Linked DNA regions of Caenorhabditis elegans. The protein of the gene in region 1 interacts with the protein of each later gene in a biochemical or structural test. Each region holds a gene or a part of one and is shown in the gene's direction. Other genes may lie near its edges. The genes, in order: lin-7, gst-22, snf-6 and eat-16.

Region 1 (5,827 bases):
TTTGAAACAAAATGATGAAAAATAAAGTATTGTACAAAAAATGGTGATGTGCTGATTTGGTTATTTACACACAAAAACGAGCTCGAGGATACCATTCTCGTGAGAATTGAAGGACCGGTTTTCGAGGCGTGCTGCAATGATGATCCAGAAAGTGTGTGGATGAATTGGGGATAGAAGGAAATAGAATTACTGAGAAAAGCAAAGAGATCAACGCGATGGGGATTTTGGAGGCTTATAAGGAGGTCGTATAAGAATTTAAGATTGACGGATGGGGAATATTCAGGCGTTATTTGCCTGCTCACAGGCATCCACCCAATCAGAATAGACGTCGATTGGCTCGGAGAGGTAGTTGATGTTTGTTTGGAAGTCTTCAGAGCAGACACGACACGAGATATAACCGACATTCTTTTCGCGATCCCTGGAAAATTATTACGTTTTTTTTTGAAACGATTTTCCTTAGAAAGTACATTTTCACTTCACAAACGCGTTCATGATTGCAAAACGGACAGTTGAATTGGGTGTCGAGTGGCATTACAGCCTTTGCCTTGGTTGGAGCCTTTCTCTTCGACTTTCGCTTTCCCATTGCTGCGGATTGTTTGGATTGGTTCTGAAAAACAATTATTAAGTTCGGGAAACGTAAAAAGAACAGAATATTTTTGCAGAAGGTAAAAATATGTTCCAATCTCGAAAAAAAAGTTCGAAAATTACATTTAAATTGCAAGAAAATATACTAATATACAAACCACTCAAAAATGCGACACTCAGAAATACTATATTGTTTTTTTCTGTATTCTAAAAACTATAACGTATGCACAATGTGAAAATTTTTCGTGAGTGTCGGCTTGAAATTCCACATTTTTGGACTTCAAATTCACAAAATTTTTTGAATCATCAGGTTTTATATGGAAAATTTACCTATTTTGACACAAAACATAATATTTCTATCATATAAAAACGGCAAAAATCCGGCAAAAAGTAACACGAAAAACAGCCAAAAAAGAAATTTCGAAACAAAATTGGCGCGAGGAAGACAGTTAGATGCGCAGGTTTTCTCGACTACGGTCTGCAGTACACGTTGCGTACTGCGTACAAAAAATGTTGACCGTAGTCTCCAAAACAATTAAGCATTTATCGGACTTTCCGGAGCAGGATTTATTCATTTTATGCTTAAAATTAAACATTTCTCAATATTTTATCAATAAATTAAATGAGAAAATTGTTTAAATCGTTAAAAAGCATTAAATAATGCTGAAAAACGTTAATTTTCAATAAAATATCTTTCTAGTGATGCAATGCAACTCAAAATTATAATTTAACAATTAAAATTATCTAAATTCAAATTTAAATATTCAGATGGGCCTCAAGGGATTCACCGGTAGTTTTCAACAAATTCGCGGACTTCTACGACCACCAAAGAATCTCCCGTTCCGTGGAATTTTCCGGAAAGACGGAGAAGTTGTGCGAAAAGACGATTTGCTGGTGAATCAATTCAAAATGAATTATCATCCAGGGTTAAATGTAAGATTTATTATCAAATATCTTTGATTATTGAGAAGTTATTCAGGTTTACTATGAAAACGATCGCGGAGAACGTCTTCTGCGTGCCCATTGCGACGGAATCGTTCGTATCTCCCAGGAAAAATGCGATCCGGACTATGAAATTGAGGAGATGAAGGGATACGAGTATAGGAAAGACGTGGATTTGTACAAAATGACGTTCAATGTGATTCCGCTGGAATTGTCTCAGAAGCACACGCTGCGACATGAAATTTAAATTTAATTTTTTGTCGATTTTTTTTTTGGTTTTGTTGTGTTTAATAATTTTCTGACGGGCTATGGTCAATTAGAATAGTAAATAATGTTTTTCCGCTCTGGATAGCTTAATTTTGTAATTTTTAATTGGTTTTCTTGCCATTTTTACCTATTTCCGTCCTATTTTTCCCCTCCTTTCCAACCAAATCTTCCAGATGGATAACCCGGATGGTCCGAATTTGGAGCGGGACGTTCAGCGTATTCTAGAGCTCATGGAGCACGTTCAGAAGACTGGAGAGGTCAATAATGCAAAATTGGCATCGCTGCAGCAGGTGCTACAATCCGAATTTTTCGGTGCCGTCCGAGAGGTCTATGAGACTGTTTATGAATCAATTGATGCGGATACAACGCCAGAGGTTCAGTTTTTTTTGATAAAACTGACAAAAATGCCGGAATTGAAATTTCCGGCAAATCGGCATATTGCCGGAATTCAAATTCCTGGAAAATCGGCTTATTGTCGGAATTGATAATTCCGGCAAATTGGCAAACTGTCCGAATTAATACTTCCGCCATATCTGCAAATTGTGGTTTTGCACATTTTTTTTGGAATTTTCAAAATTTAAATTTTAAAAAATTCAAAAAGGCACAGTTTTAAGTGTTTCCGTATAATGAAAATCCCTACAAAAAATTCCGGAAAATCGGTAGTTCGGCGAAAATCAAAATTTTCGGCAAATCGGCAAATTGCCGGAAATGCAAATTATGGCAAATCGGCAATTTGCCGAATTTGGCAAAAAAAAAGCCGAGCGACAATTGCCGCCAACCTTGATAATTAAAAGTTGTCGAAATTTCAAATTGTAGTTTTTTTATTTTTCGAAATAATTTTGAGCCGTTTTTGAACAACAGAAAACAAAAAAAAACACTAAACATTTTTCAGATAAAAGCCGCCGCAACAGCTAAAGCAACAGTGGCGGCGTTTGCTGCAGCCGAAGGCCACGCGCATCCACGTATCGTTGAGCTCCCAAAAACCGATCAAGGGCTTGGATTCAATGTTATGGGCGGCAAGGAGCAAAATTCACCGATTTACATCTCCAGGTGCAGATATAAAAATATTTAATGATTTTATAATTTAAAAAAAACGATTTGAATTGCAGAATAATCCCTGGTGGCGTAGCCGACAGACACGGAGGTCTCAAACGAGGCGATCAACTTATTGCGGTCAACGGAGTGGTGGGTTAAATGTTTAATTCAATTTTTTTTTAGTTTTTTTCGGAAAAAAAACATCGAAAAATATTGATTTTTCAATGTTTTTCAATGAAAAAAAAATCTAAAAATTCATTTTTTTAAGCAAAAAACGAAACTTACTTTAATTTAAGTGTTTTTTTATCGAAGATTTCAGATTTTTAGTGTTTTTCAGAAAATAAACCGGAAAAAAGTAAAGGAACCAGTAATAAAAGACAGAATTTTTCGGTTTACGAAGATTTCCATATAAAAGAACATTATAAATTTTTCTTAATATTTTTTTTCGAAAAAATGAACAATTTATTCTCATTTTTTAAAATTGAAAACAACTACACTTTTAATTAGTAGAAGAATATAACTCGAATTAGAAAAAAAACTTTGATTCAAAAAAATAACTTTAAAAAAATTTCAGAACGTGGAAGCCGAATGCCACGAAAAAGCAGTTGATCTTCTGAAATCCGCAGTCGGAAGTGTAAAGCTAGTGATCCGTTATATGCCGAAACTCCTGGATGAAATGGAGCGGAGATTCGAAAGACAGAGAATTCGATCCACTCAGCAGAGTCCAACACTCCCGACGCCGTCTTCTTCGACAAATCCACGAAGATAAAAAAGACGGAACATTTGTAGAAATCAAGAATTCGAGAATTTTTGGAAAAAATACGAAAAAAGCCACAACAAAACTAAATGTTACGGGAACACTAAATTTCGAGAATGCGTACTGCGCAACATAATTGACGCGCAAAATATCTCGTAGCGAAAACTACAGTAACTCTTTAAAATATTACTGTAGCGCTTGTTTCGATTTACGGACATCATTTATTAATCGATGAAATATCGAAAGAAAACACAAAAAAAAGACAACAAAAAAACAAACAAAAAAATATATTTTTATTTTTTATACAAATTTGTGTTCGAATTGGTTTTTCGTTTTTTTTTTTGTTGTCTTTTTTATGTTTTCAAATGATGTCCGTAAATCGACACCAGCGCTACAGTAGTACTTTATAAAATTACTGTGGTTTTCTCTTCGAGATATTTTGCGCGTCAATTATGTTGTGCAATACGCATTCATGTGCTCCCGTAATATAGATAATGGACATTAAAACAATATTTCTAAAATTTTTGCATCAAAATGTTTTGAGGCCCCACGAAAAGGGGAGCAAAACGAAAAGGGGATCTGCAAAAAGGGGATCTGCAAAAAGGGGATCTGCGAAAAGGGGAGATACGAAAAGGGGAGCAACGAAAAGGGGAGCTGGCACTGTGCCAAACGCACAAAACGCAATTTTTCTCACGCAACGCACGTTGATTTTTGAAATTTTCTTCTAGAAGATACGCTTAACAACACGCGACGCGTAACATCGGAGCATCGTTGTATCGTTTTCTTCGAGAAAAATAGCGCTTGGCACAGTGCCAGATCCCCTTTTCGTTGCTCCCCTTTTCGTATCTCCCCTTTTCGCAGATCCCCTTTTTGCAGATCCCCTTTTCGTTCTGCTCCCCTTTTCGTGTGGCCTCAATGTTTTACTGCAAGAGTTCGCATTTTTCTGCAAACATTGATTAGTTTAGCCGAGAAAATAGAACTTTTGTAGCAATATTGAAAGATCTTTTCTTGAAACTGAAATTTTCGCTGAAAAGTTTGCATTTTCCACCATAAAATCCCTATTTTTTCTATTTTTTTCCAGTTCATGTATACTCATTTCTAACTTCTTCTCTTCTATTCTTTGTTCTAGATTTTTAGATATCCCTATATGTACATTATTATCTCTTTTTCCGTTTTCAGACAAATTTCCAAAACAATGTTAATCTCAACACTCACCCTCTCCCCAAATTATTGCCCAAAAATTGCTTTAATAATCTTGCTTTGCCTTACGTTCTTTCAAATAGGTGCTTTTCTCCATGTATCTTTAATAACTAAATTTTTAAAATAATTTTTTTTCATTTTTCGGCATTTTTAAAAAAATATTTTCCATGTTTCAAAAATCACGAAAATCTATCTTTTTGATGTAAAATTCAACTTTTTTCAGATTTTTTTTTCAGAATTTTCTCGAAATGCTCACACAAAAAATCGGCAGACTAATGGCTTGTACAGTAACCCGACAGGCTCATCGGATGCTCACCGAGCAAGAGATTAAAGTGACGAATAAGGCAGCGAGCAGGCTTAAAGTTAGTCTGTCCTTGGGCGCCCAATTTTTTTGAAAATTAGAAATATTGTAAATGGAAAAACGAGAAATTTCGATTTTCCAGTTTTTTTTTTCGGAAAAAAATCGGCACTTTCCTATTTTTCAAAGTTTTTCAAAGCATTTAATTTCCGGTGTTTTTTTTACAAAAAAATTGTATACTTTTGATTTGTAGTGCTTTTCAGAGAAACCCCGATTTTCAAAAAAGAAAGTTAAAAAATTTTGTGAATATTGTTCGAAAATTCAATTTTTTTCAATGACTAGAAAAAAACCTTAATTTAAAAAATTAATTCTTCAAGGAAGTCGTTGATAACGGAGAACGCCTACGACTTGAGGTGGATGGAGGTGGATGCTCGGGATTTGAGTATAAAATTCGATTGGACAAAAAAATTAACAACGACGATTTATTATGGAAATCATCAGAGAATGGAGCTGAAATTGTGGTGGATGAGGTGAAAACGTGTAAAAAATGTTAAAATTGATGAGAAAAATCGTAGCGAATATTCAAAAAAAATTTCTCACAAAAGTCAATTTTTTCGGTTTTTTTCTAAACTTTGCCGAAAAATTTTAAAATTAAAAACAACGGTTTAGAAAATTTCGCCCAAAAGGCAATTTTTTCGATTCAAAAAAAATTTTCTGAAAAATGTTAAAATAAGAAAAACAAT
Region 2 (3,964 bases), on another chromosome or scaffold:
CAGAAACTCTTGCTTTTTGTAGGAAACAGGCGGTTGGTAATAAAAAATATAATAAAACGGCATCACCAAACCGGGATTGTAAAAAAACAGAAAATTGTGGTTAACATATTTGAGTTTAGTTTGCATCTTACAATTAAAATGTTTTTCAAAATAATTTTGCAGTGAACTTGAAGAAGAAAATTAATTACAGTTTAAAACCATTAGGTCTCTTGAACTCAAGCCATCTACTTTCACTAGAGCGGGGGTCTTAGAGCCTTTTTCTATGTCGATGTTCTTCTGAGCTGTCTCCAGATTTCACAGGATTTTTGTGCCGAAGGAGAAAGGTAAAACAGTTAATACTTTAAAACAAAATGTTAACTCTTGGAGTGTTGTATTCACATTTGAACTATATTGAATGTATTTCTCACGGTATATAGGATGTTGGTGACTCGAAATGAAGAAAGCGCGGGCAGATATGTAAGTCTCAGAACATTGACATGGGTTAGAATAAGTTACAAATCCTGATAGTTTAATCCCGTAGGTCAATGCCAGTACACTTAACATACATTATTCATCTCTTACTTTAGTGTAATCTGTGACTAAAATTTGGTTTCTCTTCTTTTCTCTCTCTCTCTTTCTCACTCATTCAAAAGTTCCGCGAACACAGGGACTGAGGAAGTGATTGATACCACTCTATTTGATAACAATTTGACACAACTAATTCAACCTATTTTCAACTTTTCTCTTCGACCATGACACACCATATTTGTTACTTGGTAATTTTGAACTTATTCTTCCTTATTATTCCAATATGGTTCCTATCAATCGGCTTTAAAAACCAAGGAAAATGTGAGAACCCGCTTCTTCCATTATGGCTTATTTTTGTTGGTATTTTAATTATTATTGATAGAATTATTTATTGGAAAATTCTATTCAATAAAGTGAAGAAACTCATGGAGGATGTTCCGCAAGATGGAAGAAAGAAAAACTGGTTCGAAAATTTTTGGTGGATATCAATAAAATATGCGTTGGAAGGAGTCATGTTAATAGCGTAATTGATTTCAAATTTACAAATGTCTAAAAACTAGAAAAGTTTCAGGGTTGCCCTTGGAGCTATTTGGAGCTATGAACAACTCGGCCGACCGATTTATTTATGCAAATCTTCTGTTCTTTTCTCGGTTTCCGGATTTTGTATTATTGCTTCCATAACTTATATAGTCTCCTTGATAGGGACTATTTATATATTTTGCATGAATTGTAAAGCAAAGTTTGATAGAAAAGTTACAATGTGGTTGTATAGTTATATTCTATAATTTAACATATTGTATAATTTGAAAATGCATCTGTTTTGCCGACATGACATTGTTTTTACAAGCAATTAAAAATAACACTTAATTTTTAACAAAAACAAAAGGAATAGTTTTTTTTGTTCAATCACAGCTCTCGTTTTCTGCTAAAAATCCATAAAAAAATTTCTGAAGATCGTACAGACAGTATCACCCATTAGTACAGTCTTCATATGTAAACCAATAAAATATAATAAAATCATGATTTCATTTAATAGAGGTATGAATCATGCAATGATTTCTTAATATTCACATAATACCTCCACATTTTGAACTGTCTCTGCAGTTTTTTGCGATAAGGGGAAAAGTTGCAATCGCGATAAGAGTCATCGATAAAGGTTGGTAAAGGTATAAATTCTTTATTGATTCAACTAACTTCACAAATAAAATATGCCCTCTTACAAACTGACTTACTTTGATGCTTGTGGGTTTGGAGAGTCAGCACGAATGTTATTCCATCTTGGTGGGGTACCATATGAGGATGTTCGACTGCCGACGATCAATGCTGTTCCGGGATTTCAAAGTGACGAATTTTCAGCGTTGAAAGACAGTGAGTCAAACTAATAGCCCACTGAGCATAGTCCACCTTTAAAGAAACATGAGCCCTTCCACTTTTCGGCGGAAAATTCATATTCAATCAGAAAAAAGTTTTGCTAGGAAAGGTTTGGAAAGTTGTGGAAAAACCGATAAATTTTTGTGATTTTCTCGATTTTTCTGAACATTTCGGGAAACTTCTTGAAAACTTAAAATAATTTTAGAATCATCTGGATATTTATGGAGTTTTCAAGAAACTCCTAGAAATTTTTGAAATTTCATGAGACTTCTTGACACTTTCTGAAAACTTCTGGATAGTCATGCAATTTTTGATTTCAAGGAGATGTCATGGTAATTCTGGAATAAAAACATTTGGAAATTTGAGGAAATTTTTGGAACCTTCAGACAATTTTTGATGACTTCAAGAAGCTTCCAGGAAACTCAAGAAACTTTTTGAAATTTAAAAATAACTTTTGACAATTTGACAATTTTAGCTGAAAGAATTTTGCTAACCAGACAATCAAAAAATTACATTGTTTTCAGAGACCCCATTTGGCCGATTCACAGTTCTTTCCATCGACGGTTTTGATCTTGCTCAATCTTCTGCAATTCATCGTTATCTGGCTAGAAAGTTTGGCTACGCTGGAAAAACACCGGAAGACGAGGCTTTTGCTGATTCTATCGTTGATCAGTTTAATGAGTACTACGCGTCACTCCATCCCTACCGTGATGCCGTGAAAACTGGAAAAACAATGGAAGAAGTGAAGCAAATTCATGACAAAGTTTACATTCCAGCAAAAAACTTAATGTTCAAAATATTGACTCGAATTCTTAAAGAGAACAAATCGGGTTTCCTTGTTGGAGATGGATTGACTTGGGCAGATCTGGTGGTGGCTGATCATTTGTATACTCTGACGAATCTCAAGGAACTTGATCCAGAAGATCCAATTCATTTAACTTTGAGAAAATTCCAGGAGAAAATATTTAATCTTACCGAGTTGAAAGATTACATCGAGACAAGACCAGTGACGCTTGTGTGAATTGTTTTTTTTGTGAAAGAAAAAATAATGATGCAATAAAATAGTTTTAAAAATTTATTTGCGTTCTGTATATTTATTTGCGTTTCACTTTACAAAACCTGATGTAGTGATGATTTTGTCCAGCGGTCAAGCTTAGTCAAGCCAGAGACACACCAAATATAAATTGACCCAACAATTGAGAATAGGTAAACAATGCAAGTAACAATGCTAAAAACAAAAACAGAAATTGGAACAATTATGCTGCATTGATAGTCGGAATGTATGAGTCTGTCGTAACTTTCGAGGGTGCCGCAGATTATTCTGAAAAAAAAAACAAAAGAATTTGGCTCGCCTATTTGCCTGCCTATCGCCTGCTCTTAGCAAATTGAAACTGCGCTTTGAAAATTGTACGGCGTCGAACCCGAATATTGTCGGGCGCTGCGAAATGTAAATGTACGAAACCATAAAATATCACATGTTTTTAGGCGCTAAGTAGGCGAGTAGGCAGGCACACAAGTTTGTTCCTGAATGCTTCAAAAACTTACCCAACAAACATCAAAATTCTCAAGTTATTCTTCCCGAGAATCAACCACTTCGAAGTATTTTCCATTCGACTCTTCTCCCAGGACTTTATCTGCTTCAAGTCGTCAGTTTTCGGAATGGGATTTTCATTTTCAAATTGAGTTTCGCTTATCAAAATCCTCCAAGATACCACTCTCTCGATAATTATCAAAATAGCAATTCCGATCAGCCACAGAGGGAGTATTGGTGAAGAACAAGAGAATATGTTAAATGTTCCAATAATTATAAAAAATAATGGGATAATAGCGGAGATTATAATTGATGCAGTGAGAAAACAAACTGCACTTTTTTTGGAAACATGTTCATTTGGCTCAATCATATTCTGAAATTAACAAAAATTGAGAGACATAGGTACGTAAACAGGTGATAGCAACGAAAAAAAAAACAAGTTTAAATCAATTTTGTGTTATTTGCCTTATTATCGTTTTCTTGTGATCTTATCACATCATCATTTCTGTTTTGTTTTGATTTTCTTTTCTTTTAACTACTCGCTACTCTACATTT
Region 3 (5,466 bases), on another chromosome or scaffold:
TATGTATTTTTCTGAATTTTTATGTATTTTTCTGAATTTTTATGCATTTTTATGCTTTTTTCAGATTTTTTCAGAATTTTTATGCATTTTTCTGAATTTTTATGCATTTTTCAGAATTTTTATGCATTTTTCTGAATTTTTATGCATTTTTCAGAATTTTTATGCATTTTTCTGAATTTTTCAGCTCCAAAATCACCTTGGAAGCCGTTTTTTGCAGTCTGTGAATAAAACTTTTTGAACGCCCCGCTCGTAGTAATAATCCTCGATTTGGTGCCTGAAAATGGGGAATTTTTGAGAAAATTTCGGATTTTACAGCGTTTTTTCCGAAAAAAAGGTAAAAAGAATCGATTTTTCTTCATTTTTTATAAAAATCCGGTCGAATTTCACCCAGAAATCGTTAAAAAAGTGCAAAAAATCGCGCTAAAATAGCCAAAAATTCGAATTTCCCGCCACTAGTCCACTGGAGCGCACTTGCACTGCGCGGTCGGCGGGAATTCAAATTTTTAGGTGATTAAAGTGGATTTTTGTCGGAAAATCGCAATTTTTGACTAAATTCGTTGAGAAAAAGCCGAATTTCGTCGAAAAAATCCAAAATTTTTCGGAGAAATTCTGAAAATCTTGATTTTTCAAGCGTTTTTTCCGGATTTTTTCGAATTTTTCCGGGTTCTCACTTGTATTTCTTCATATCTATCAAGTCACACTTGTTCAGGACGAGAATATGCGGTCGAATAGCGTATAAATGTCGAAAAAACTGCTGATTTCGGCCGGTAATCGGGATTCTGGCGTCGTGGACCTGGAAAAAATGTCGATTTTTGCAATATTTCCCGATTTTTCAACTTTTATAGGCGGAAAAATTCACTAAAATTCTTACACCAGTTTTTTACACCAGTTTTTCGGTTTTTCAGCGTTTTTCCGGTGATTTTACAGATTTTCCAAAAAAAAAATCGTAAAAGTTCCATTTTCCATGCAAAACCTCAATTATCAAGTCGACGGATCGCAATTTCGCTTCCATTTTTTTCAATTGTACGGACATATGCATTGGAAACCACTGCCGATAGTCATATTGCGCGGGAAGTTCGAATTGTTGGCGAAATTCTGAAAAGAATTGCGATTTCCGCGCGGAAAACTGAGTAAATAATGGGGTTTTCGGGTACCTGGAGTGGAAATTCGATATGTTGTGTGCAGAAATCGACGAAAATTCATATTTTTTAACTGGAATTTGAAAAAAAATTGAGAAAAAATTGTGAAAACAATTTTTTCCTGTAAAAAATCAAAAAATAACCTGAAATTGCATGATTCGTACTCTGCGTCTCTGCTCTCTCATGCGTAGCAATGGAGCGCAATTGCAGAGTCAATTTTTAATAACTTTGGAAAATCCTAATTTTCACCATTTTTAAGGGATTTTTTACAATTGAAAATGCGAAAAACAAACAGAAAATGTTTTTAGCCGCATTTTGACACCAAAAACTACACAAATTACTCCCCAGAGAAATATAGATTTTTCGAGAAAAACTTGATTTCAAGAAAAACTGTGATTTTTGGAGTCTTCGTGATTTTTAGAGTTTTTCTAGTGGATTTTCGGTTTGCACCGGTATTAGTTTTAAAATGTTGGTATTCTCCTGAAAAATTCAAAAAAAAACTAACAATTTCCGGTGTTTTCTGGTATTTTCTCTGTAAAAATGGTTTTTTTTTGTTTAAATCTTATTTCTTTCATAATAAATGCTTTATTCAACCAACAAAGATGCTTCCAAACCCAATTTAATTTATTTCATCAGAATTTCCATTTCAAACACCCGCCAACAAGCGATTTCTCAATGGAGCGCGTTTGCATTGGCAACCTGGAACATTTTTATTTTCCAGAGCGGTTTTTCGTGAAAAACGTAAATTTTTCATTAAAATTTTCGATTTTTATAATTAAAATTGAATTCTGGAAGTGAGTTGCAGCATTTTGACCCCAAAAATCTAAAATTTGACCCGAAAATTATTGATTTTCAGCTAAAAACTCATTAAAACCGATTTATAGCCAATTTTTTCCTGAAATAAACTAATTTTTCCCACATTTTCCCACAATTTCTCACTTTTTCATTCGTTTTCCCCGGCTTTTCACGTATGTTTTCAATTCGGGCGAGCCAACTGCTTCCGAAATTTGTGTAACAACGGGCCGCCGCGTCGCCTCGTTTCTCTTTCGTTTTTACTCTAAAATTCGTATTTTTCTTCGCAATCTCTTGCTAAATAGCTCAAAAAATCGTGAAAATTGCTAATTTTCAGGTTTTAAACCGACGAAAAATCGATTTTTCCAAGAAAAACCGAGTTTTTCCACACCGAAAATGTCGGTTTCGAGCAACGATCCGGAGCAGAGGAATGGACGGGGCATGGCAAGCGGAAACAACGTGGATATGAGCCTATATCCTCCGTTTATTAAGCAGGTTTGTGGAAAAATTCGGAAAATTCGAGAAAAACGGATAATTTTGACGTTTTTCCCGAAAAATTTGGATGATTATCGATTTTTTGTGAAAAATTCCAAAAAAACCACAAAATTTGATGAAAATTTCCACTAATTTTTGTCCTAAAACCAATAAAATCATTGAATTTGCTGAAAAATTGCCGAAAAAATAAATAAAATCAAATTCCCCGCCACTAGTCCGCTGGAGCGCACTTGCTCCACGCGGTCGGCGGGAATTCAAATTTCCGTTTGATCTACGGCGGGAAACGACCAATTCCCGCCATTTTGTTAAAGATTTCAGCGAGAATTTTGAGTTTTTAGGGAAAAAACTGATTTTTTCGCAAAAAAAACCCTGAAATTTTTCAAGCTCGACGCAAAATTGCCCGATTACACACGAGAAGGTGACATCGAATATCCATTCGAAGAGATTACGGGTGTCGGAGACGAAAATAGGATACGAGGTGCGACAAAAATCCACGTTTTTCGATTTGGTGGCCTTCAAATCCAAAACTCGGCCACCAAACTGTTTTCATTGAATTCGCCACGTCAGCAGCTTTTGAATGACCCCCAACATGACCAGAATACGTTGATTTTGAGCTTTTGTAGTTTCGACACAGCTGAAACCGGTGCTACAGTACCCCGCGTGGCGAGACCCGAATTTTTCAAATTGCACGGAAACAGGGCATGATGGGGGTCATTTTGAAGCTGGAGACGTGAAAAACACGAATTTGTGTGAAAAAATCCATAAAAACCAAAATTTTTATTGAAAAATGCTAAAATACCAACAAAAAAAATTTTTGTGAAAAAAAAAATTTTTTCAGGAAATTGGAGTAACAAGTCGGATTATCTGCTAGCAGTAATTGGTTTCACAGCGGGAGTTGGTAAGAAAGCGAGAAATTTGAATTCCCGCCAAACCGCTAAACAACACGCGTTGGTGTACTAGCGGAGTGTCGTTGTTTTTCTTGTAAAAACGTTGATTTTCTGGGGGCTTTTTGAAGTTTTTTCGCATCAAATTGATGAAAATAGCAATTTTTAACTGCTTTTTCATGGAAAAAACCAATAATTTTCCCTAATTTTTAGGCCAGAAATCCGGAATTTTTACGATTTTTCGGCGAAAACAGGGGCCAAAGTCCACGATATCAGCAGATAATAATCTGACCATACGAAATGAGTACGTGCGAGAAATTGATAAGATTATAAATTGATAAGAGAGTGTGTGTGTTCTAAAGTTCTAACATCTCTTGTTTTGGGGGATTTTTTTTTGGTGAAACATTGGATATTTTTGGGATTTTCAGTGGAAAAATGGATAAAATATCGATTTTTCTGCAAAAAAAACTCGAAATTTCAATTTTTCAACGCATTTTTCACGTTGAAACCAGACAAAATCAGTGAAAAAATCGAATTTTCAGTAATTTCTCAATAGAGCGCACTTGCTTTATTTTTTCCAAAAAAATTAACTTTTCTATTGATTTTTTATAGTTTTTTCTTCTAAAAACGAATTTCAACACCAAAATTTTGGAAAAAAAAGTTTAAATTGTCATTTATTGGGTCTAAATGATTTGAAAAGCGAAAATCTCACATTTCTAGTAATTTTTTTCAAATTTTCAGTTGGAAATTGAGTTTTCCACTCATTTTTACCCTAAATTGGTTTTTTTTCGAACAAAATAGATTGATGGCCTAACTTTCGGGGGTTCTAGGCCACCAATCTGAAAATGATGGTTCCTAGCCATGTTTATCGATTTTTTTTTTGGAGTTTTTGGTTCAAATAATGAAAATAAAAACATTTTTAACTGGAAAATCACAAAAATTTCGGTTTAAATCCCTAAAATCTTCTAAAAATCGATATTTTCGTGACTTATGTGCTTCTACTCGTATTGATGACATAAAAACTGTATTTATTCACATTTTCAGCCTTAAATTGGCTGAAAATGTGAATAAATACCGTATTTCTGCCAACAATTTGACAATAGAGCACATTTGTCACTCGGAGATGCGGAAGCTATGCCCAAATTTTCTATTTTCCCGAAAACTCGTGTTTTTCATTTTTTTTTTTCCAGTGATTTTCACAGTTTTTCATTACGAAATTCGGCTTCTCCATCAATTTTCACCCCCGTAACCCGATTTTCAGCCAATTTGGACTAATTGTCGTAAGGTTCGGTGCCTAGCAGGTGTTTGCGTACTTTTGGGGCTACCGTACTCCTCGAAATTCAAATTTCAAACTGGCTTTTGGGAAAAAAGTCCAATAGCGGCAAAATAAACCGGAGAATTCGAACTTCAATGTGAAAATTCCTGAAATTTCCTGGAAAGTTCGAAAAAAAAACGTTTTTATCAACAAAAAATTAAAATTTCCAACTTTCAATATATTTTTCCAGCATTTTCATGCGAAAATTCAAATTCCCCGCAAATTTTCACCCCGGTGACTGTTTTTTCAGCCAAATTGTGCGAAATTTCGCAAAATTCGGTGTTTGCGTACTTTCGAAGCTACCGTACCCCCCTCGAAATTCAAATTTTTTCAATTAGGAATTTTTTTTTGTAAGATTTTAACGAAAAATTTGAATTTCCCAGTGAAAAATCGCGAAAATTTCTGGAAAATCTTGAAAAGAAATTTTTTTTTTTGGAAAATTTTTAATTTTTTTACAATTTTCTCTTCCTTTGCAGGAAGTTTCTGGAAATTCCCATTTCTAGTATTCCAACATGGCGGTGCAGCATTCCTTGTACCATATTTATGTATGTTATGCCTCGCCTCACTACCAATGTTCTTTATGGAAATGGTACTTGGACAGTTCTCCTCGTCGGCTGCGATTAGTGTTTGGAAGGTGGTTCCGTTGTTTAAGGTGAGAAATTTTGGCGGGTTTTAAGTGGGAAATTTGAATTTTTTGGGTGGAAATTATCCGGAAGCTCTGCAAATTGTGAAAAGTTTGAATTCGAAGAGAAAAAAAAATGTTTTTTCGCCAAAAAAAATATTTATTTGAAAATTTGCACTCTCCTCAGCAATCCTCACTATTAAATCTTCTAGATTTGAA
Region 4 (6,533 bases), on another chromosome or scaffold:
TTTTTATACCAATTTTCAATAAACTGCTCACCACATTGAATTGCGTTCGTCCTCCTGGTAAAGAACAGTGAATCGCATCAACCCATCCTTCCATTTTCTTTGTATTGTCAATTATATAAGTTCCAACGGAAAGATCCATTTCTTGAAGACTGAAATTTTTAGTGGATTGAATACTTTAGCGTGTTTGTTTTTTAAAAATTCATTACTACTTTTTCCTTATCAAGAATACTTCCTTATCAATGAATATACTTCATAAACAAGCATGTAAAACTCACCCAACAGCATAAAATTCTGCGATATCCTCGGGTTTTTGAGAAAACCATGTGGGGAAAACTGACAATGGGCTTCTTCCATTCACATTAAATGTTGAAACACAAATTTTGACATCTTGAAAGGTGCAGAATCTGTAAAAAGGTAATTAAAATATTAGTTTAAGATTTTCAGAATAGTTTACTTATGCATCCATTCTCTCATAACTTCATCAACTTTTGCATCTCTTCCTTCTATCCAATTACATCGTTGTTTCGTGTAAAACGTCGTCGTCGCCATCGTCACTTTGTTTCGAAAGAGACGTTTTACGTCTTTGACGACGCTTCTCTTCCGATTTTCTCTGAAATAAAACCAAAATTGGCATTTTTATTTCAAAAAAAACTATCTTTAACGATAAGAAAACTACAGAGCCAAGCTAAATGGTAGTAAAATCAGGAAAAAAGTAAAACGTGATGAACAAATACGATGTGACCGTCTAGTTGTCTCGTCACTCTCCTATTGCCAGTTCTCTCTATCTCTCTTTAGTGTGCAAACACCGAATTGAACACCGTATCCATCAACACATTTCGAACCTATTCAGTTTTCCCAGCAATATAATACACAGTTTATGGGTTGTTTATATTCAAGTTTCTCCGTCTTTTTCTATTGGAAATGAAAGATGATAACTCTGCGAGCGAAAAGATGATCGGAGGTCGATTCGCATGAATTTCCCATCGGAAAATTGAAAATCAGTATTGATTGAAACAGGAAGAACCACAAACGAATGTGTTAATTTATCACTCTTTATTATGACGATTTGTTCTGAATCTGGAACATAAAACTCTGATTAATAAAACCAATAAATTTATTATTTTATTTATTCCGCAATTACTTTCTTTTTTTTTTTGATTTGACAACCCAAATTATATTTTGGAAATTCTATTGAACTTTCTATTTATTTTCTAATCAACGTCGAAAACCGGTAGATCCTGCTGTGATGCCTAAATTCTGTACAGATTTCTCAAAATTTTTAGCAGATTTTAAGCGGATTTTAAGCGGATTTGAGATTTTCCCAAATTTTTTTTAAGTACTGAAAATTTCAAAGAGAATCAGCAATCGACGGAAGAATGTTGATCCATTTGCAGAAGAAAACCGAGCAGTCAAATATCCCAAAAGATTACTGAAACTATTGTGTAATCAATTTTCAATGCCCTGAACGAATATTAAAATCAGAATCAAAGATCGTTGACAATGTTCGCAATAGTTGAAATACGAAACAATCAACCCGTTTTTCACTTTTTTGACATTTTTTCTCCAAAAAAAAAGCTAGATGAGGGGAAGAGTAGAAAGTAGTAGTATCCTTCGCCTACCACCACTACCAAAAAGCAACACACACCATATACATGTTGAAGAGACTGAGATGTTAAAGGGAAAAGAAGAAGAAGCTCGTTGTCGCTGTCGTCGTCTTCGAAGCCGTAGCACATCGAAATTGAATAAAAGGGGAAAGAAGTGGACACAAGAGACGCAGAAGAATGAGAAGAAGCCTGGAATACTGCTTCTACTGCTGATTGTGACAACTCGAGACGACGAGATCGATCCGTGAAGTGAAAAGAAGGAGAAGCAGCAGCAGTAGCAGCACACGCACACACTCACTCACGCATCTCTGACACACACATGCACACACATAGAGGGCTCTCGAAGCCCTCTCGGAGCCACAGAGTAATTGAGAGAGTGAGAGACGTTAGACTGCTCGATTATTGGAAATCATTGGGCTGTAGGGGACCCGGCGACTAGGCAGAGAAGGGAAGGCGCCGCTCTCGTCGCCTGCGCTATTGACTTTGCCTGTCTGCGTTTGAATTCAGGAAGACAGCTTCGTCGTATGTCTCACATTCTCACTCAAAATCCACACTCACACACACACGCGCACAAACCCTCACTCTCCTCACCCGCTCACATATACACACATAAGCACCCCCTCGCCCCCCTCTCCGCCCACCACGCACCACAGCAGTCCCCCATCCCCGGAGAAGAAAGAAATAGAGAACGAGAGAGTCAGAGAACTAGAGATCTAAGCATTTTGGCCTTACTATTTTATTATTTTTCATTCCTATCATCTCCATCATCGTTTACTGATCTGCAACCGTATGATACAGTTCTCAAATATTCAATTTGCAGATTATTATTCTAATATTTAATTCAAAAATATCAAAAGCTGTCGAGCTGATTGAGACACGCTGCTCTCAAACCCCGCATTTTGTATGATGCCACCGTTGACCAAGGTATTTCATTTGAAGTTCAATTTTCTTAAAATTTCTTTTGAAAATTTTAGATCGAGGTGCTCGCGAAGCGAGTGATGGAAGGTGCGCAATTGAAAACGCATAAATACTTCCGGATCGCCGTGCCTCATGCCATCACCGGTCAGCAATTGATAGCTCTCGTTCTTGAGCGAGTGAGTTTACTTTCCTCTCAAATACAGCAGGAGCACTTATTTGAAAACTTATAAAGCTTCTGACAAGAAAATCACAAAAATTATGAAAATAAATTTTTAATTTTTAACAGGGTGCTCCTGACGATGAGGCTGAAGCGAGTCATCTGGCAAGTTTGTTACTTCACCACGGTTACATGTTTCCAGTTATCGAACATGTAAGTTAAAGACTGCAGTTTTTCAGTGTTTAACTTAAGTATTTTAAATTAAAAATTAATTCAGGGCCAACCTTTCAAAGACGATGGAACGTTATACAGGCTTCAAAGGCCGTATTTTTGGCCTTCACAGGCTGAACTGGTTCCGGATGTTGAATATGGTAATTCCAAGAAAAGTTATTGTATCTGATCCACTATATTTCAGCCATTTACCTCAACAAGCGATTGCTCCGAAATGAGCAAAAACACGGGTTAGAAGAAGATGAAGTTGAGTCATTCAACAGGTATGGGACATTATTTCGGACATTAGGAAAAATTATTTAGTCAGAAAATATTGAACAATCCTCACGACTTAGAAATAAATTGGTAAAGCTTCGCCAAGAAATCTTACTGAGATCACGAAAAATGTCAAAGTGTACAGAGATTAGTTTTGGCATTTTTATGATTTCAGTTTTGGAGTCGAAAGCTATTATTTTTAACCTTTTAAAAATTGGGTTTTTAATTTTTTGAACGTGCATCGCTGCAGAATGAAAAATCGAAATAATAATTTAATTTTTTTTAGATTATTGAGTTATCTTTCTCGAAATCTGAAAGTTATCTCTGGTGATAGAAAAGTATTTTGAATTTTCAATACATATGGCATTCAAAAATAAATTTTCAGACTTGCCGATGTTCTCGCACACATGTGGGCTTTCATCGTTCAACAGTCTGAGCTTCAATTGAAGCAGCAAAAAGAAAAAAAGAAAGTGGACAAGGTAGTGTTCGATTCAGAAGAACGAGCGTTTTGGAAGATACGAAAACCAAGTCGTGGTGGACCAAATTTCCTAGAGGACCCTTATATGAAAATAGAAAAGAAAATACGACGGCAGAATGCACAAGGTTATAGATGTCTTATGGATCGATTACGATTTGCAATCAAGACAAAGCCATGGCTAAAAGCATTAAAAGCATCGGATACGTGAGTATATTCAATCCAATTGTAAACTTTTCCTAGCTGAATCGAATCAAAATATGTATTATTAAGATTGAATTTCGAACTGATAATGGATCAGATATCAAAAGACAATAGATTCAATTAAATAATTCGTGTTTCAGAATGGTGACGTGGGTTGACCAAAGAGCTGAATTCGATCCATTCCTTCACCCTCCACAACCATCCAATCCATGGATCAGTGATGAAGCTTCATTTTGGAATCAGCCTACTGACACGTAAATTATTATTTAATCTTTAATCTTTATTGCAAATACTTTTTCAGGTCAAGTGCCGAGATCCCTACCGAGAAACGGGTAAAACGATGGGGACTTTCTGTTCAAGAGCTTGTGAAAGATCCTATAGGACGGCAAGTGCTCGAAACATTTTTAGAATCCGAATTTTCGTCGGAAAATATACGGTTCTGGATAGCGATACAAGATTTGAAATATGCACCGAATGAGCAGATATACCAGAAAGCTGAAAGAATACGAGAAGAATTTTTGGCTCAAGGAGCACCTGCACAAGTAAATGTAGACAATAGAACCCTCGATCAGACATTGGAGTGTATTTCGAAAGCGAAAGATGCTTCACAAATGAGATTCGCATTCTATCATTCTGAAGAGCACGTGTTCACATTGATGGCAAAGGATTCATATCCACGTTTCGTCCGATCCCAAATCTACAAAGCAGTATTGACAGCAGCGCAACAGCACGGAACAAAGCGACTCGGGTGGCGCAACTTCGTATTCAACATGGGTACAACTAAAAAACCAGCAACGAGTAAACCAGCAAAGGCAAGATTTTCCAGGAAATTATGTATGAAAACTTTGATATCTTCAGCCGCAAGATTCCATCGGGACTGGTCAAGTTCTCCCAAAACAGCTATCGTCCGACTCGCTGCCAGTTCGACAGGCTCATGGGGTCAAGTAAGTTGTGGAAATATGTCAGAAAAATCTATTAAAATGGGACAATCCTACCACACGAACAATTAACTCCAAAACTGTTAAATTTATATATTAGTTAAGCTTTTGTTCAAATAGGATAAACTGGCGATATACACCTTTAAATATCGGCTAGTTTTTTTTGAGTTAGTATTCCCAATCATTTTTTCTGTAACCTGTTGGTGCTTAAATCTCCTGTCTTGGCAGTTGCCATGAGATTTTTTGGCCAAAGACTAATGACTCAAATCCATCAAAGCTAAACTCATGACCTACTCTCTTCAGCTCATTTCTTTATTTTGCAGACCGGATCCCGAATGACGTCATTCTCTTCTCACATCTCGTTTCTCTTTTCTGCGTGTACGTACGTGTCTGCGTCTCTCTGTATATTCTTTTTCACTTTTCCCTCTTCTTTCTCAAAAAAAAAACCAAATCAAATAACGACCATCAAAAAGGGAAATCAGTATCCTCTGCATCGGTTTTACACGCAAATTTAAATATTTCGAAGCGAACCATTTGATATGTGTATTATCAATGAACTTCTTCTCAAAATTAACAATCTCGAACCACCCAACACTGCATATTTTGACCTTATTTTCTCTTCCAAATCGATCGATAATACATGTAATTCCACAGTCTCTTCAGACTCTTCTAGTCCATCATAATCCACATCTCCTGCCAGCTTCTTCTTCATTTTCACGATATACTAATTTGTAATCCTATTTTCTCACAAAAACGTGTACAAAGTGTTATATTTCTTTCTATTACCCATATTATTTTAATCTTTTCAGAAAATCAATTTTTGTTTCCCTCATTCATTTCACACAGAGTTCTCCTGCTTTTTTGGCACACTTCTCGTTTTTTTTTCAAAATTTTAAAAGTATCTGTAAGGTACCGCTAGCGTATTTAGGTGTTTCAACCTAACTTTTTTCAATTATATCTACTCAAAAATAATTTGATTTGAAAATGGTAATTCGCACCAAAAATGACGATATCATAACGTCTCAGTTCTTTTTTTTTCCAAAAATCATATATAAATTTCATTTTCTCTTACCCTCTACCTGGTGTGATTGTCTCAAAAAAATCAACTTTCAGAACCGGAGTTGTTACATAATATATTATTAATGTGTCAGTATATCATTATTTTCAGCTTTTTGTAGGCGTTGATGTTCAATAAAATTATTTATTCTTATTTTTATGTCTGTGTTACACCTTAATATATATTCGAAACTATGGGGAACTCTGGGAATAAGAAACACAAGGAAAGGGTTTTTTGAAGAATAAAAATTTCTTATATTACATAGATGTCTGAAGATGAAAATTTTGCGGGAAAAAACAACCAAAATGTGCTACGACACGGGAAATTTTTGGAACAATAGAGATTTTGAATAAATTTACAGAATACCGATTATGAGCACGAACGGATTCCGCAACGGATCACCCAAAATCAAACAGTGGGAAAAGGTTTTAGTTCACTTCCATTAATAAAATTGTCTGGATATATCTAATCTTCCAATTTACAGAAAATCCAATATGTATTAAAAATTCACAACGAAAACCCGGGGACCCGGGGAAAACTATTGATTTATCAAAATTATGTTGATTTTTCGAAGAGAAAAAATATAAATAATTTCTTTTTTTTTAAATTGAACCTTTTCCCCGGAAAAATCAAAAAACAGACACCATTTTTTTGGTACTATAATTTCAAGTTTTAAACTGGTAAGAATAATCAC

Evidence for each region.
Region 2: the proteins of lin-7 (region 1) and gst-22 form a complex in vitro, tested with the Caenorhabditis elegans proteins (one study listed by BioGRID).
Region 3: the proteins of lin-7 (region 1) and snf-6 form a complex in vitro, tested with the Caenorhabditis elegans proteins (one study listed by BioGRID).
Region 4: the proteins of lin-7 (region 1) and eat-16 form a complex in vitro, tested with the Caenorhabditis elegans proteins (one study listed by BioGRID).

Annotation. Positions count from the first base shown.
Region 1 is NC_003280.10:14,344,933-14,350,759, reverse strand, and holds lin-7 (Protein lin-7 homolog), read left to right. Parts: upstream 1-1,967; coding exon 1,968-2,168; intron 2,169-2,686; coding exon 2,687-2,844; intron 2,845-2,903; coding exon 2,904-2,979; intron 2,980-3,403; coding exon 3,404-3,598; 3' UTR 3,599-4,916; downstream 4,917-5,827. Other genes in the region: elof-1 (Transcription elongation factor 1 homolog), read right to left, coding at 280-418, 468-583; Y54G11A.17 (L51_S25_CI-B8 domain-containing protein), read left to right, coding at 1,354-1,518, 1,565-1,774; Y54G11A.9 (Core domain-containing protein), read left to right, coding at 5,035-5,148, 5,462-5,614.
Region 2 is NC_003283.11:16,230,023-16,233,986, reverse strand, and holds gst-22 (glutathione transferase), read left to right. Parts: upstream 1-1,704; 5' UTR 1,705-1,715; coding exon 1,716-1,875; intron 1,876-2,402; coding exon 2,403-2,899; 3' UTR 2,900-2,955; downstream 2,956-3,964. Other genes in the region: clec-233 (C-type lectin domain-containing protein), read right to left, coding at 1-63; F21H7.3 (Serpentine Receptor, class E (Epsilon)), read left to right, coding at 732-1,030, 1,079-1,292; F21H7.12 (uncharacterized protein), read right to left, coding at 2,989-3,199, 3,424-3,779.
Region 3 is NC_003281.10:1,529,630-1,535,095, reverse strand, and holds the start of snf-6 (Sodium-dependent acetylcholine transporter), read left to right. Parts: upstream 1-2,268; 5' UTR 2,269-2,327; coding exon 2,328-2,426; intron 2,427-2,810; coding exon 2,811-2,904; intron 2,905-3,264; coding exon 3,265-3,324; intron 3,325-5,101; coding exon 5,102-5,277; intron 5,278-5,466. Other genes in the region: mtg-1 (CP-type G domain-containing protein), read right to left, coding at 197-274, 672-793, 974-1,095, 1,155-1,203. UniProt on the Caenorhabditis elegans protein: Mediates sodium-dependent uptake of acetylcholine at neuromuscular junctions during periods of increased synaptic activity, may also prevent spillover to adjacent synaptic sites.
Region 4 is NC_003279.8:9,720,297-9,726,829, forward strand, and holds eat-16 (Regulator of G-protein signaling 7), read left to right. Parts: upstream 1-2,424; 5' UTR 2,425-2,507; coding exon 2,508-2,528; intron 2,529-2,578; coding exon 2,579-2,698; intron 2,699-2,808; coding exon 2,809-2,892; intron 2,893-2,956; coding exon 2,957-3,050; intron 3,051-3,094; coding exon 3,095-3,173; intron 3,174-3,550; coding exon 3,551-3,847; intron 3,848-3,984; coding exon 3,985-4,098; intron 4,099-4,145; coding exon 4,146-4,656; intron 4,657-4,670; coding exon of another isoform or gene 4,671-4,684; exon of another isoform or gene 4,685-4,702; coding exon 4,703-4,788; intron 4,789-5,105; coding exon 5,106-5,121; 3' UTR 5,122-5,988; downstream 5,989-6,533. Other genes in the region: ocrl-1 (Rho-GAP domain-containing protein), read right to left, coding at 32-149, 276-404, 455-549.